Coturnix japonica: one gene and its partners. The protein of the gene in region 3 interacts with the protein of the main gene of each other region in a pairwise test. Links are inferred from orthologs where the notes say so. Each region holds a gene or a part of one and is shown on either strand. Other genes may lie near its edges. The genes, in order: TOM1L1, TOM1L2 and TOLLIP.

The links.
Region 1: the proteins of TOLLIP (region 3) and TOM1L1 interact in binary tests that used the Homo sapiens proteins (3 or more experiments, as listed by UniProt). The link is inferred for Coturnix japonica from reciprocal best matches to the Homo sapiens genes TOLLIP and TOM1L1.
Region 2: the proteins of TOLLIP (region 3) and TOM1L2 interact in binary tests that used the Homo sapiens proteins (3 or more experiments, as listed by UniProt). The link is inferred for Coturnix japonica from reciprocal best matches to the Homo sapiens genes TOLLIP and TOM1L2.

Annotation. Positions count from the first base shown.
Region 1 is NC_029533.1:8,286,910-8,291,347, forward strand, and holds the start of TOM1L1 (TOM1-like protein 1), read right to left. Parts: upstream 2,926-4,438; 5' UTR 2,776-2,925; intron 1-2,775. UniProt on the Homo sapiens protein: Probable adapter protein involved in signaling pathways. Interacts with the SH2 and SH3 domains of various signaling proteins when it is phosphorylated. May promote FYN activation, possibly by disrupting intramolecular SH3-dependent interactions.
Region 2 is NC_029529.1:4,990,547-4,994,996, reverse strand, and holds the start of TOM1L2 (TOM1-like protein 2), read left to right. Parts: upstream 1-1,524; 5' UTR 1,525-1,597; coding exon 1,598-1,649; intron 1,650-4,450. Other genes in the region: DRC3 (dynein regulatory complex subunit 3), read right to left, coding at 384-540. UniProt on the Homo sapiens protein: Acts as a MYO6/Myosin VI adapter protein that targets myosin VI to endocytic structures. May also play a role in recruiting clathrin to endosomes. May regulate growth factor-induced mitogenic signaling.
Region 3 is NC_029520.1:9,911,714-9,915,655, reverse strand, and holds part of TOLLIP (toll-interacting protein), read left to right. Parts: intron 1-1,247; coding exon 1,248-1,400; intron 1,401-2,583; coding exon 2,584-2,674; intron 2,675-3,942. UniProt on the Homo sapiens protein: Component of the signaling pathway of IL-1 and Toll-like receptors. Inhibits cell activation by microbial products. Recruits IRAK1 to the IL-1 receptor complex. Inhibits IRAK1 phosphorylation and kinase activity.

The DNA of each region.
Region 1 (4,438 bases), on a different chromosome or scaffold from region 3:
GGTTTAAATGCTTCATCACTTGTATAATTTTTAAGTTTGTGAGTCTTAATTGCTCTGTTTTGCAATCAACCAAACCCGGATCACAATCACGAACTCAGATAACAAGCATCCTTGGCTAACATGGTAATCTGGTCATCCAGACCCCTGTCTTTTTCATTTCACTGATCTCTATTGACTCGGCACTCAACTCTTGTTTTTATTTATGTTTATGGTGATTTGTACACCTTATAAAATTATCATTTCGAACCTGCCTGTAGGCAACAGCTGTGGGACTGGATAATTACCACTGAAAGATGGCAACGTTACAAAAAGATACTCTCATACAAAAAAAAATTCATCTGGCAAAATCACTCATTTATTTATTTAATAGATGAAATTAGTGAAAGAACAGAACACAGACAATAATGAGGGTGTTACAGAACTCTGCCAAGTGCTACCCCAGCTCGGCATCCCCTCCTTTGGACAGAAGCTGCCAAATACAGCTGGCTTAAAACGACCAATCTCTTCTGCACAAACAAAAGTAACAACAAAAAAAATCAACTTTCCAAAGCTTTAAAAGCTGTTTCTCTTCCATATTGGTTACTGGAACCTTTCAAAAGGTCATTAAGGATTTCATTTGAGGAATTTTTCTCTAAGCATATCAGAAGATTGAACATGGACCTCAAAGAGCCAACATGAAACTGGGATTCAGATCCTGAAGGGTGAGCTCAGTGGGGTTATATGGGTGTGAAGCAGCCACTGCCCTGTCCCACAGCCACATCCCTCCTGCAACTAAAATGGTCACATCCTCACCCCAGCCAACACACCTGAGTGCTGTTCAGCTGAGTCATAATGCTCACATTGCCTCAGAAGGCTGATGAACAAAGGAATCATCTCGCCAAATGCAAACTGAAGGCACCAAGGCTTGTGCCTACTATAAATGCAACAATCATCTTAAAGTGAGAACTCTGGAAACACTGAGAACAGCCTCAAAGCTCTGCTGTCAGGTCTGCAGGGCTGGAGGCGTGTCCCACTGCCCCAGCAGGGATTTAACCTCATTTCCCTTTTTCTCCCTTTTCCAGCATCCTATAGGATGTTTCAGGAATGTCCCTTCTCATCTGCCCTGTGTTCTTTGAGGCGAGCTGATCTATTCATGCAAAATAGCAAGCTTTAAATAATTAATGGCACAAAAAACATTGTGTGAACATGTTCTGTAACTCAGGTGAAACAAAATCTTCCCAAAGACTTTGCAGATGAGTTGGCCTTGATAGCTAAACAATAGGAGCTTTTCAGAATTATTTTATCTGTTGCAAATCTTCACAGCCTCAATGTTAAGGACAGACTGAAATGACGGTTAGGTAACCTGGCCAACTCGCTGAAGGGGGAAAATAAAAGAATCAGAATTAAGTTTTCTTCCTGCCTGTGGCTCCAAGCCCTGCAAATCTGCTCTTTCCATGTTCAAGCTTCCACAGACTGCACTCCAACCATCACTTACCTAACAGCCATGCACTGAGCTGGAAGGGAGGGAGGTAACTCCCAGCACCTGAATTAAAACGCAAGTATTCGTCTGTCTAAAAACGTATCTGAAGTGAACCTACATTCTGAAGAGTAAATTCCCCACTACAGTGACAGAGGGCTGGTATTTCTAGTTTTCTCACCTGTCTACCTGGTGGCAATTTGCTTTCTTTTCTAATGAAAGTCACTGTTTCAGCCTCTAAGGAACCCCTATTCCTTTCCACCTTGTTCTGTATGGTTCCTGCTGCTGTGTTTTTTTTTAACACATAGTTAAATTCCAGTTAACAACTGGAAAAATTAAAGTCCAGCCCATGAATCCTTGAGGGATGCTTTAATTCTGCTTTTGCCACAGAATTCTGTTTCCTTGACATACCACTTTGAGCCTCAGTGTCTGTTTTACTAGTAAGGATGAGAGCTGTTAGAGATTACAATGCTAAATACAATGGGAAAATGATACCTAGAAGTTACACCTGGACATGGGGCACTGAGAAGAACTTTTGCCAAGAGGTGAGGTGCATTTTATGCTGTGAACAGCTCTTCTCAAGCGTGGAGTGCAAATTTCACTAAAAATCTCCAAATAACATCAAAAACCGCAAAGTTGGAAGAGACCCTGAGGTTGCAATCTGGAGCTGAACAGCCATCTCGACTACGAGAGATTTTGCCAAGAACAACGTTCTGAGCTCCAAGAGACCAGAACTAGTGCATGAACCTGAAAACATAATTGCTCTTTTCTGTTTGCAGTAAGAAAAGCTGTTATTCAAGAGGATATTGAGCCTCACCACATCTCTGTTGAGCATGAAAATTCTCATCATAATAACGATTCCACTTTCAGCCGTTGTTGTAACCATGTGCCTCAAACCTGAAGTCCCTGCTATCGACCACTACCCAAGGAAGGGCTCCAGGGCTCTCGAATACAAAAGCACCCAGACATATTTTCAGTTTCCATCCAAGTTTCTGCACCTTCTATTGCAGGGTGAATGTGACCCTCCTGGTGCACAGCAACATCAGTAACTCTGCATTTGTTGAAACACAGTAGAAACAGAATGTGTGGGAAAAAATAATAATATTTGAAGCACTGAAATAAAAACTGCGCTTGGCTGTTGCACTGCCTGTGCAAGAAGCAAACCTCATACAGAGTATAGCACACACCCCAACTCAGACCCACAACTTCTTGACTTGCTGAAAGAAGAATTTATATCAAAATATTAAGGGATGACCAGTATTTGTCTTCCATTTTCTCCCACTTGCAACCTAATGATACAGTCAGAAACATCCACATACCTGCTCTTTTCCTTTTGGTGCTGAGCAGAGATGAACCTTAGCAGGGAGCAGCTGTAGGACTCTCCTCTTGTTGCACAGTCCACAAGAATCACAGTGTATTGATGTGCATTCATGGTAAGGAAGGGTGCTGCAGGTTTCATGTGTATATTACACAGGGCTCTAAACTTTAAAGACAAAAGAAAGGGAGGGAACAGATTAGCTATTTAGGCTTCTAAACCTCATATCACCTTTCAGAACTATGTCCAAATTGGTTAATTAGCAACCTATGCACATCACATGGCCTACACATCTTGGTCATACATTTCCTAAATGCTACCAATCGAGTGGGACATTGCTTACTGCAGCTTCCACTTTCTGAAAAAATGAACTATAGTTCCATTGATTCTACTCCCATAAAAATAACAAAAACAACAAAAAAACCCCACAAAAATAAACTAAAAACACTGCCCAGCCCCCAAACTGAACTCTTTTTCCAGCACCAGGCAATTACTTTCACTGCTTACAGAGATCAGTTCTTGCACTCATGACATCCATGATGCCTGAATTTGACCTGTGCCAGCTGGGTCTGTACAGAGGGCCTGGTATTCTCTGATTTTCTCTAACTCACGGTGCATGATGGCAACTCCCCCCAGTCAAGATAAAATCTTGTGCCTGGAGGGTGCTGTCAGATCAGTCATTATCTAAGCATGTCGAGAAATCACAGTACATCATGTCAGAGGATGTGCACTATCCAAGATGAGTGGATGAGCGTGCATTGAGAAATGTTTGCTTTTAAAACTAACACTGCAGGATTTGCCACATTTCAGGAATATTTTCTTTTAGAAGAAGTATCACTTATCTCATCTTATCTTCTATCTTAATCTTATATCTGTATCTTTAGAAAGATATTGCTTCAGTAGGCAATGCAGAGAGAGAAAAAAAGAGCAGGAATAGCAAAGAAAATAATAAACTTGAATAGAACACTGCCCCTTGAAAAGAGAACATGTGAGGTTTATGTAACCTGAATACTGAATGGAGCCCAGCAGGTGAAAGAAAATATAGGAAGAAAAGGGGAAAATCCAGAGAAAGATATTTTGGGCACTTAGTTTTCCATTGTCAGACTTGTGACATGGCTGTGCTTTATTCCAAGCAAAATTTCCTATCTATGAAGTTATTAGAGTGACAGAAAGTGCTGTGAAAAGTAGAGTAAACTCAGTTCCCTCCCACTCTCATATCCTCAGTGCTTTGCAGCTGAGCAAGATCAATGCCTTGCTCTCCGCTGAGACAGAAAACAAAGGAAAGTTCCTTGGATCCTCAGCAGAGCCAAGGACCCCAGCCAGCAAGGCTGTGCAAACTGCCCCTCTGTGTCTACCTATGCAACCTCTCTGCCATGCTGCGTGGCACTGAAACCCTTTGTCTTCCCCATAGAAACACATCAACCCAGCACTTAGTCCTGCGATATGTGAACACATCGCAGAAGGTATCTTCCATGATGTTAACCATGGAAGAAAAGTCACCTATTCATCTGCTTTGCTGACTAAGGTCATGAATGTCTCGTGTTCCGAGCGATGCTGGCTGTAATGCAGCCCGATGCTTACATCCTGCTTTGATGGCTGGATCTTACATGCTCAAGTACCAAGCTGAGGTAGGTCTTACAGATTTCATTGACCCTGAGCAGATCAGT
Region 2 (4,450 bases), on a different chromosome or scaffold from region 3:
GTGACGATGCTATGGATCAGAGGAAGCTACCAAACTGGACTGTAATCAGCACATTCTAACAACAGCACTTGGATAATCGCCACTGATGGCCGTGCCTGCTCAGGATTTGATTTGTCCATGTACAGAAGGGCCCAATAGGCCTGTGGCCTGTAGGTGTCACCACAATATAAATGTTAAATAAGAACAGCGCTGACGATAATAGCATAAAGCTAAGCAGCTTTAAAGCCATCCATCAGCAATACCACCCAGACCGCTCAGCTGAAACTGCTGCTTCCAGGCATGACTAAAAGCCTAAGATGATCATTATTGTTTAATTGCCAGGTTGCCAATTAATGCTTATTTCATTTATCCCCCTATAAATGTGTGTGTGTTCTGATACTCACTTCTAAAACTAAGCTGTAGCTCCGTCACATCTTTAAAGTCATAACCTTCTGATGTGGCGAGCCTCCTTATGTCCTCCGGCCATTGCTCTTCAACTGCTTTCTGAAGCATTTCATCGTCAATAACGTTTGGCTCTAAGCTGTCGTCTGGCTGACTCATTTTTAGAGGATATCAGCTGTAATGGACAGAAAAAGCAACAACAATAAAGCCACTGTCTGGCTGCTATTTCCAACCTTCATTGAAGTGGCACGACACAGTCGTGCAGGGGATTAATCGCAGGGGATTAATCGCAGGGGATTAAGAACATGGTTAATATTAAGATCTAACACCTCAGAGCTGATATCAAAGATGAATTTGCTTTTATAATGGCTTGTATGGGAAGGGATAGTGAAGATCATTGAGCTGGGTTGTACAGCCATTGGTGTGACTGTAAGCACAGCCTGCACATTAGTTCTGTAATAAAAGGAAAAGGAACCTGGAGGAAGAAGGAACGTTTATAAATAGTAATAGTGATTTTCTGAAGGCCCTTAATGCTGACCCACCGTAATGCGGCCTAACCCAACCTATATGGACACAAATACCTCCACTGAGGGAAATGATTAATTCTCAGCTTTCTCTCCTGGCTTTGTCATTTATAAATCCACACTGATACCCCACAGCTCGGCCCCAGGCCCCGTTACCGGCCCCAGCCCCTTCTGCGCTCCAGCCCCGGCTCTGTGTGGTAGCTAAGGAAGCCCAAGCGCGTTGCTAATAGATGTCACGTGATGCGCTCGGCCGCCAATGGGCTGAGAGGGGAGGTGGGAAGTCTGGCTGCTAATCAGAGCCCGAGAAAACCGTGTCAGCCAATCAGAGCTCCAAGCGTGCCTTGTGGGCGGGAGGAGTTGTGTATGATTGACGTTCTGCTCGCCCATTCATATTGCAGAGTTTTCCGGCTGTTGCCCAATGGAGTGTGGCGTTAACGGAATCTCTCCTGTCCATCAACTGAGGGGCGTGGCAAAGGACGGAACTACCGAGGGGGCGGGTCCGTCGGTTGACAGTGATTGACACACTCTTCAACCTATAGTATCACGGAATTTACGAGCACCGTCCAATGGGTTGCAAGGAGGCGGGCCTTGCCCGGCAAAGCGAGCGGCGGTTGGTGCTCGTGGCTGCTAATCAGAGAGGGGTGGGGAGGAGGAGGGAGGGCCGCCGGGCCGCTGTTTGTTGTCATCCCAAGATGGAGTTTCTGCTGGGGAACCCGTTCAGCACCCCGGTGGGGCAGAGCCTCGGTAAGGCAGCAGTGTGGATTACAGTGTGGCTTACACAGGGCATTGAGGGCTAGAGAGGACAACGGAGGGGCTGGGGGCCTCCGGGGAGTGCGGTCCTTGGGGCTGTGGGGTTGCATAGAGAGGCACGGAGGGGGCAGTGGCGGCCTGTGGGGGGCTCTGAAGGCCGGGGGGGCACGGGATGGGGCTGTGGGATAGATGGGAGGGGTCTGTGATGGGGGGGATCTCTGGGGCTGTGGAAGGAGTGTGGAACTGGGGGCTGATGGAGCTGTGAGGGTTTGGAAGGGCTCGGGTGTGGGCCGCAGTGTGTCATGGAAGCTCCGAGGGGCTGTAGGGCTTCGTGGGGGCTCCGGGGGTCGTGAAGGGCTGTAGGCCCGCAGGGGGCCATGGAGATATGGGCCATGGCAGGGGGCACGTTCCCTGTGCTGCCTCAGCTGCCTTCATCCCCAAGGGCTGGAGCTCATCTGATGGGAGTGCGATGCAGGTTAGAGATGCACACACACCTTTCAGCCCAGCACTTGGATTATGGTTGGCCTCATGCTTTGGTGGCGCTGGGCAGGTTGTTGTGAATGTACCCCCCCTGCAGGGCCAGCCAAGTGCTTGCTGGGTTGCTGTGTGTGCCCCTTCTCTCCTACGTGTGTATTCGTGCTTAGCTGTGACAGCTCTGGCTCTGGTCTGGGTTGCTGGGGCCACAGGAGAAGGCCTGAGTTCCATTCTTTCAGGGCTATGGCACTTGCCTGGGGCTGTCATAGCTTCCCACTTGCTTCTCACATACCCTGAAGGAATACAAGCTCTCCCAGGTCGTGGTGGGAAAGAAGAGCAAACTGGCTTGGATTTCTGCAGCATAGGGACCATTGCATATGGTCCCAGGAGCCAAGACAATGCTCAGTTGTATGCACTTGTGTTGGCGTCCCTTGCGGTGAAACCATGCTCCCAGTTTCCATGATTTGTTTTGTAAACAGCAGTAATTCTGATGACTTACCTAATGGTTATATGTAGTATAACATGTACAGGCTATAGCTATTCAGCATTAACTTATGAAACACCAGGGGATTCATGTCTTTGGGAATTAAAGTGGAAATGTACTACTGAGTAGCTGCTCATGGCCTCAAAACCCAGAAGTTCCTTTCTAGCAGCTCCACACCCACATGTGCAGACAGCCCATGGCAGAGCTCAAGGCCTTTAAGTGGGTGAGTCTCACATGCTTTAAAGGTGGCTGGACTCTTGCTTTGTCAGACTGTGCAGACCATATATCGTGCTGTTTTTTCTTTAGCTACCAGAGGTGTTCATTTGTTCTGCTTAGGCAGAGAAGTGCTGAGAGTTTGAGGATTAAAGTGACGAAAGTGAAAGTTAGCCATGATTTTTAAAGTGAATTTGCATTGCTGTGCTTGGCCATCTGATAACATCTGCCAAGACAGCTGGCTGCTTGGACAAGCCTTCTGCATCAGGCATTGTTAACTGAAGGTTATAATTTCTGATCTATTTATTGTCAGATCCTTTTAGCCTCAGTAAGTGGTTTAAAGGGGCTTCCTTAGGACTTAATTACTGTTGAGAGGTTTTAATGGTAGAATATGCTTTTCCAGCCTCTTGCCTTTCTAAGTCTGGAGTGCCGAGGTTTGCATAGCTCTTATGTCCCCTTGCTCTCTTTGAATGAGCAGTCACAGCCAACATAAAGGTTTTTGGCACAGAGCTCAGAGGGATCCAGGTTAGGTCTGTGTGAGGGGCTCAGAGCACAGCTTCTGTACTGCAAAATCCAGTCACGCTTTAACAAGGTTTTTCCATCCCTTTTTTTCGGGGGGGGGAGGAGGAAGACAGAGCTGCAGGTTTTATTTTGGAAGATTATTTCTTTCTGCTTCTCATATCAGTGCCAGTTTCCTGAGACAACAGCAAGACAAAAGCACGCCTTGTTCACAGACGGTGCTATTTGCACAGTGTTTCCACTGCTTTCTTTTTTTTCAATGAGCTCGTAGGATATAATTCTCACTTACGTTGCTTTGTACTTTCAAAGAAGGTAATTAACTAATTTAGTATTGCTGTTTAAACATACCGTGTAAAATACTGTTATGATGTTTTCAAACAGGACCTAGCACTTAACATAGTATCCATTATAAGGAAGAAGCACAGAGGGTCCTGTGAGTCCATCAGTGCACCAGGAAGTAGCAGAGGATCTCATGAAGATTTACTTAGGGCTAAGCAACATTGTTGCATAAATGCTAGGTCTAGAAGAGCAAATATATCAGAGAAGGTTTGTGGAGTGCTGAGGGAGGGAATACATGGGATTTTCCCTTTTCCTCTTTATCTGGATGATGTCTGAAGCCAGGCAGCCTTTTTATGTTAACTCTTTTGCTTAATGTGAGAAAGTAATGCTAGGATGAGCTCAGAGGATTTGTAATGGAGATGGATTGAGTCTCTTGCATCTAAAGTGCCAGTGTAGATGGGAGCCAGGTTCCATGTCTCTGAAAGCCACCTGATTTCTGCTGGCTGATAAACCTGGTTGGCTGATAAAACCGCCTGTGAGAAACACCACCACTGCTACCAAGGACAAACCTCACTTAATTTTCCTCTAATGCTTTCTTTGACCTGTGGAGGCTGAGCTGTCCCTTTGCCTCTAGCAAGGTCCCTGCCAAGCTGTTTTGGGAGGCCTGTTGGTTGAAGCAGGCACGTGTTGTGGCATTCCTGATCTTAAACACCGTTCTGCTCTTGCCATGTTGCTTTTTACCTATTGAAGGAAGGGGAGCTAATAGCAATATTTATGCATAAGCTAAAAACATTATCTGAGGTTACATAGCACCTTCTCAAAGGCT
Region 3 (3,942 bases):
CATACAGTGGTGATAAACTGTTTACAAGTTACAGATTTCAGTTTCTCGGAGATTAAGTACATCTGATTAACAGCTCAGCTGAATAATCTGCTCTGCAAACGTTGCTTATGAGAGTAGTACTGTCATAAACTCTAATGTGTTATTCTACTAGATGTTGTTATTGGCAGCAGGGAGTATGTGCCTATGTGTTAACTGTTCCATTTGGGGATGTTGACTTTGACTTAGAACAAACTTGTGTTCTCAGGTAATGTTAGAGGCTACAACTGAGGCAAATGTCTATGACTTGCCCTTCTTTGCTTCCCCTCTTACTGTGCGAGTTTAACTTGACACTGCAACAGCCATGCACTTGTTACACAAATGAGGCTTTTGGATGCTGTTTTGTGATAATTGGTTGAAGTTTCATTACTGCAACAGAGGAGGCGCATCAGTGCTTATTTCTACTGAAATTACTGGAATTATTTTAAATGTAGACAGAAACTGTTTCTTAATAGCATGACTGCTATCTACAGATATAGACTAGTGGGGTTCCACAGGACTCTATTTTTGGGGCAGTTCTCTTTAATGTTTTTATAAGTGATCTTGACACAGGAGTCAAATGCATACTAAGAAAGCTTGTGAATGATATGAAATTAGGGGGAGCTCTTGCATTCCTCAAGGGCAGAGAGCCCTTGCAGAGATGTTGACAGATTAGAGGACTGGACAATCTCCATCCATGTAAAGAAGTAAGAAGAGCAGTGCCAGATTCCCAACTTGGGATGGGGTAACCCTGGGTACGTGTACAAATGAGGGGATGAGAAACTTGGGAGCAGGCCCACAGGAGAAGGATCTGGGGGGTTCTGGTTGACAGCAAGTTGAATGCAAGTCAGCAGTGTGCCCTGCCAGCCAAAAGGGGCTTCTGTGCCTTGGGTGCACCAGACTCGGCACTACCAGCTGGGTAAGGGAAGGGCTGGGCTGCTTTGAGCTATGTGGTCTCACCTGCAGCACTGTATACAGCGCTTGGTGCCGCAGCATTGGGAGGGTGTAAAACTGGTGTATTAGAGAGCACGCAAATGAGAGCAACAGAGATAGTAAAGAGTCTAGAGGGCAGGACTTAGGAGGAGTGACTGAGGTCACTTGATTTGTTCAGCCCAGATAAAAGAAGGCTGAGAGGTGATTTCCTAGCAGTCTGAACTCTGTTACGCTTCGTGTGTGCATGTAGATAGCAGTAAGGTAAAACTGAGATGTTTCTTCTTCTGTTTTTCGTCTAGCGAGCCTTTTCAATGGATGATCGCATTGCTTGGACACACATTACAATTCCTGAATCTCTAAAACAAGGAAATGTGGAGGATGAATGGTATAGCCTGAGTGGAAGGCAGGGTGATGACAAGGAAGGAATGATTAACCTGGTGATGTCATACACGGTAAGTCAAGTTTAAAGTGAGAATGGGAGAGATAACAAGAGGAGATATTCTAGGTTAAACTAGGAGTATTTCCGTTGTATCTCGCTCTTCTGTGTGTGTTAGCGTTTAAAATATTTGTACTTTATTTTGCACATAGCAGCCAAAAATATTATGGTAGTAAATCCTTCTTGGTGAGGTAGCAATTGAATATTTATTTGGCTACTCCTCAGTCAAATAATTTGTTTTAATTTCTAATTTGATTAAAACAACAACAAACAACAAAGTTTCTACTTTGAATTTAGGTCATTTTTATAAGTAAAGGTAGTCACAGCTCTTCTCTGTGGTCTTTTTGGGAAGTTTGAGTGCACTTTCTGGTGACTTGAATTCTGATTTCCATTTTTATTTAGTGCTTGTATTGAACTGCTGACTTTGGCCTATTTAATAGCTTCTGGATATTCTCTAGTCTGTTATCTTTGTCATAAGTACCTGTGGGATGGCATGATAGCTCCTCAGTGCTTCCTACTACGCTTGCGTGTGATCAGAAGTTCTGGGTTGTTGCTGGGTGCACAACTGTGACCAGCTGCTTCTGCTACTTGAATTTCCTATTTGGCCCCACAACTGAACAATTAATTGTTCCTTTACCCCTAGGGTAAAAATTTTTATTAACTTTTAAAATGTGCACCAATGGATGTGCTGCGCACAGAATCTGACCTTCTAATGTCTTACATGATGAAAGAGAACAGAAATTGTGGTACTATAAAGGAATGGGCTTGGACATTTTAAAAAGTACTAATTTACCTAAAAAATGATTTGAACTAATGTCTACTCTTAATAAAATTCAGCTTTGCTTTACATTTTTACTTCAGATAAATAAATACGCCATGTATTCGTTTTCCCAAAATAAAGTGTGGAAATTTAGCCATGTTTTAGAGCAATTTGTTTCTGTAACAGAATATCAGTGGCCAGTTGCATCAAGCTGGTGGGAAAGGATAACTGGTGTGTGCTTATTCTGATTTACACTTAAATTGTCATTTTAAAGAGTAGCATTTCGGTTTACTTGCCAAAAATTCTGCTTAATACAAATCGGATAGGTCTTATTGTGCATGCAGTGCAGATTTTCTGTATTACAGTGTGGTGACTTCTTTCAAACGTTTTAAAACAATTCCAAAAATGCCAATTAATCTCTGTTGTGCATTTTGTCTAGTCTTTGCCAGCTGCCATGATGATGCAGCCCCAGCCAGTGGTTCTGATGCCCACTGTATACCAGCAAGGAGTGGGATATGTGCCTATAGCAGGTATGTTGTCTTTAATTGAAGACTAAAGCTTCCAAGTAAAGGGGTTTTGCAGAGCTGTCTAACAAGTTTCTCTTCCTTTTTGGAAAGTGAAGGGGATTTGTAGGTGATTTCATCCTTGACTGTATTTTCCATGATGCCAGAGGGGAGGACATGAATTAAGTGTGAGCCTTTTTGACTTCTGAGTTTGATAGATATTCAAAAGTTTGGATTCAAATGACTGTAAAGTCACAACGAGTAGCATTAAGTCTACTTTTAATGAATATGAAATCAAGCCTTATGTAAGTCATTAAATAACTAAATATACTGAAACATAGTCTGTCAGATATTGTGTGCTGGGAAGATGGTGGCAACCCAGGTGAGAAAGTGCTCAGACTTCAGAAAGCACATCACATGCATCGTGTAGTCAGAGCTGCAGCTAAAATTGACTATAAAGGGATTATCTTTCCTGTGGACCTTAAAGGTGCTCTGTTGAAAACGCAACACACAAACCACTTAACTCTGTGAATGAATAATATTAGGGAGCTCTGAGATAGATTAACGGAAGTATATCAAGAAAGCTAAAAGAAAGCAGTTGTCAGTTGTTCTGGTCTGTGTGAAGTAAATTTTTGACTTCTATAGATAGATGTGTTAAGTTAGGTTCTGTAGTTTTACTGTCAAAAGTGAGAAACTTCAAGTATATAAATAACCACATGTTTGCTTTTCTTAAAGGACTGGTAAGTAAAGTTTGGGGTTTTTTTTGTTTTATCCTGTATTAGTTTCAGCTCTTAAAAGCTCTACATTAAACAAGAATTCAGCACGATAGTCTTACTGATATATTTTGAGTTTCTTCACATGTATTTGTATGGGTGAGTGATAGAGTATATGGGACGCAGTTGCAGTATTGAGGACTGGCACAATATATTTTTCTTTTAGACTCAATTCCTGATTTAATTTAAATTTCATTCTCTGAAAAAGCAAATTTCCACAATATAAATCTGGATATTTAACTTAAAAAAGTGTGCCTCCTGTAAAACATAGAAGTTTGGTTACTTACTGAACTCCCTGATGAGAATGTATAGAATGCTTCATTCAAAGTGCTTTTATCTCTAGAGCTTCTCAGGATTTAAGTCTTGCTTGCTTCACTATCTAACTATTCTAAATTACTGTGTGTATTCTGAAGTTTCATTCCATTGTAGTTAGCTTCTGTGTTTTTCTGTTCTTGGATTAGATATACCTTTCCACTTCTGGATTCAGCACATCCTGATACACTGAAGCAGTTAGTAAACCTC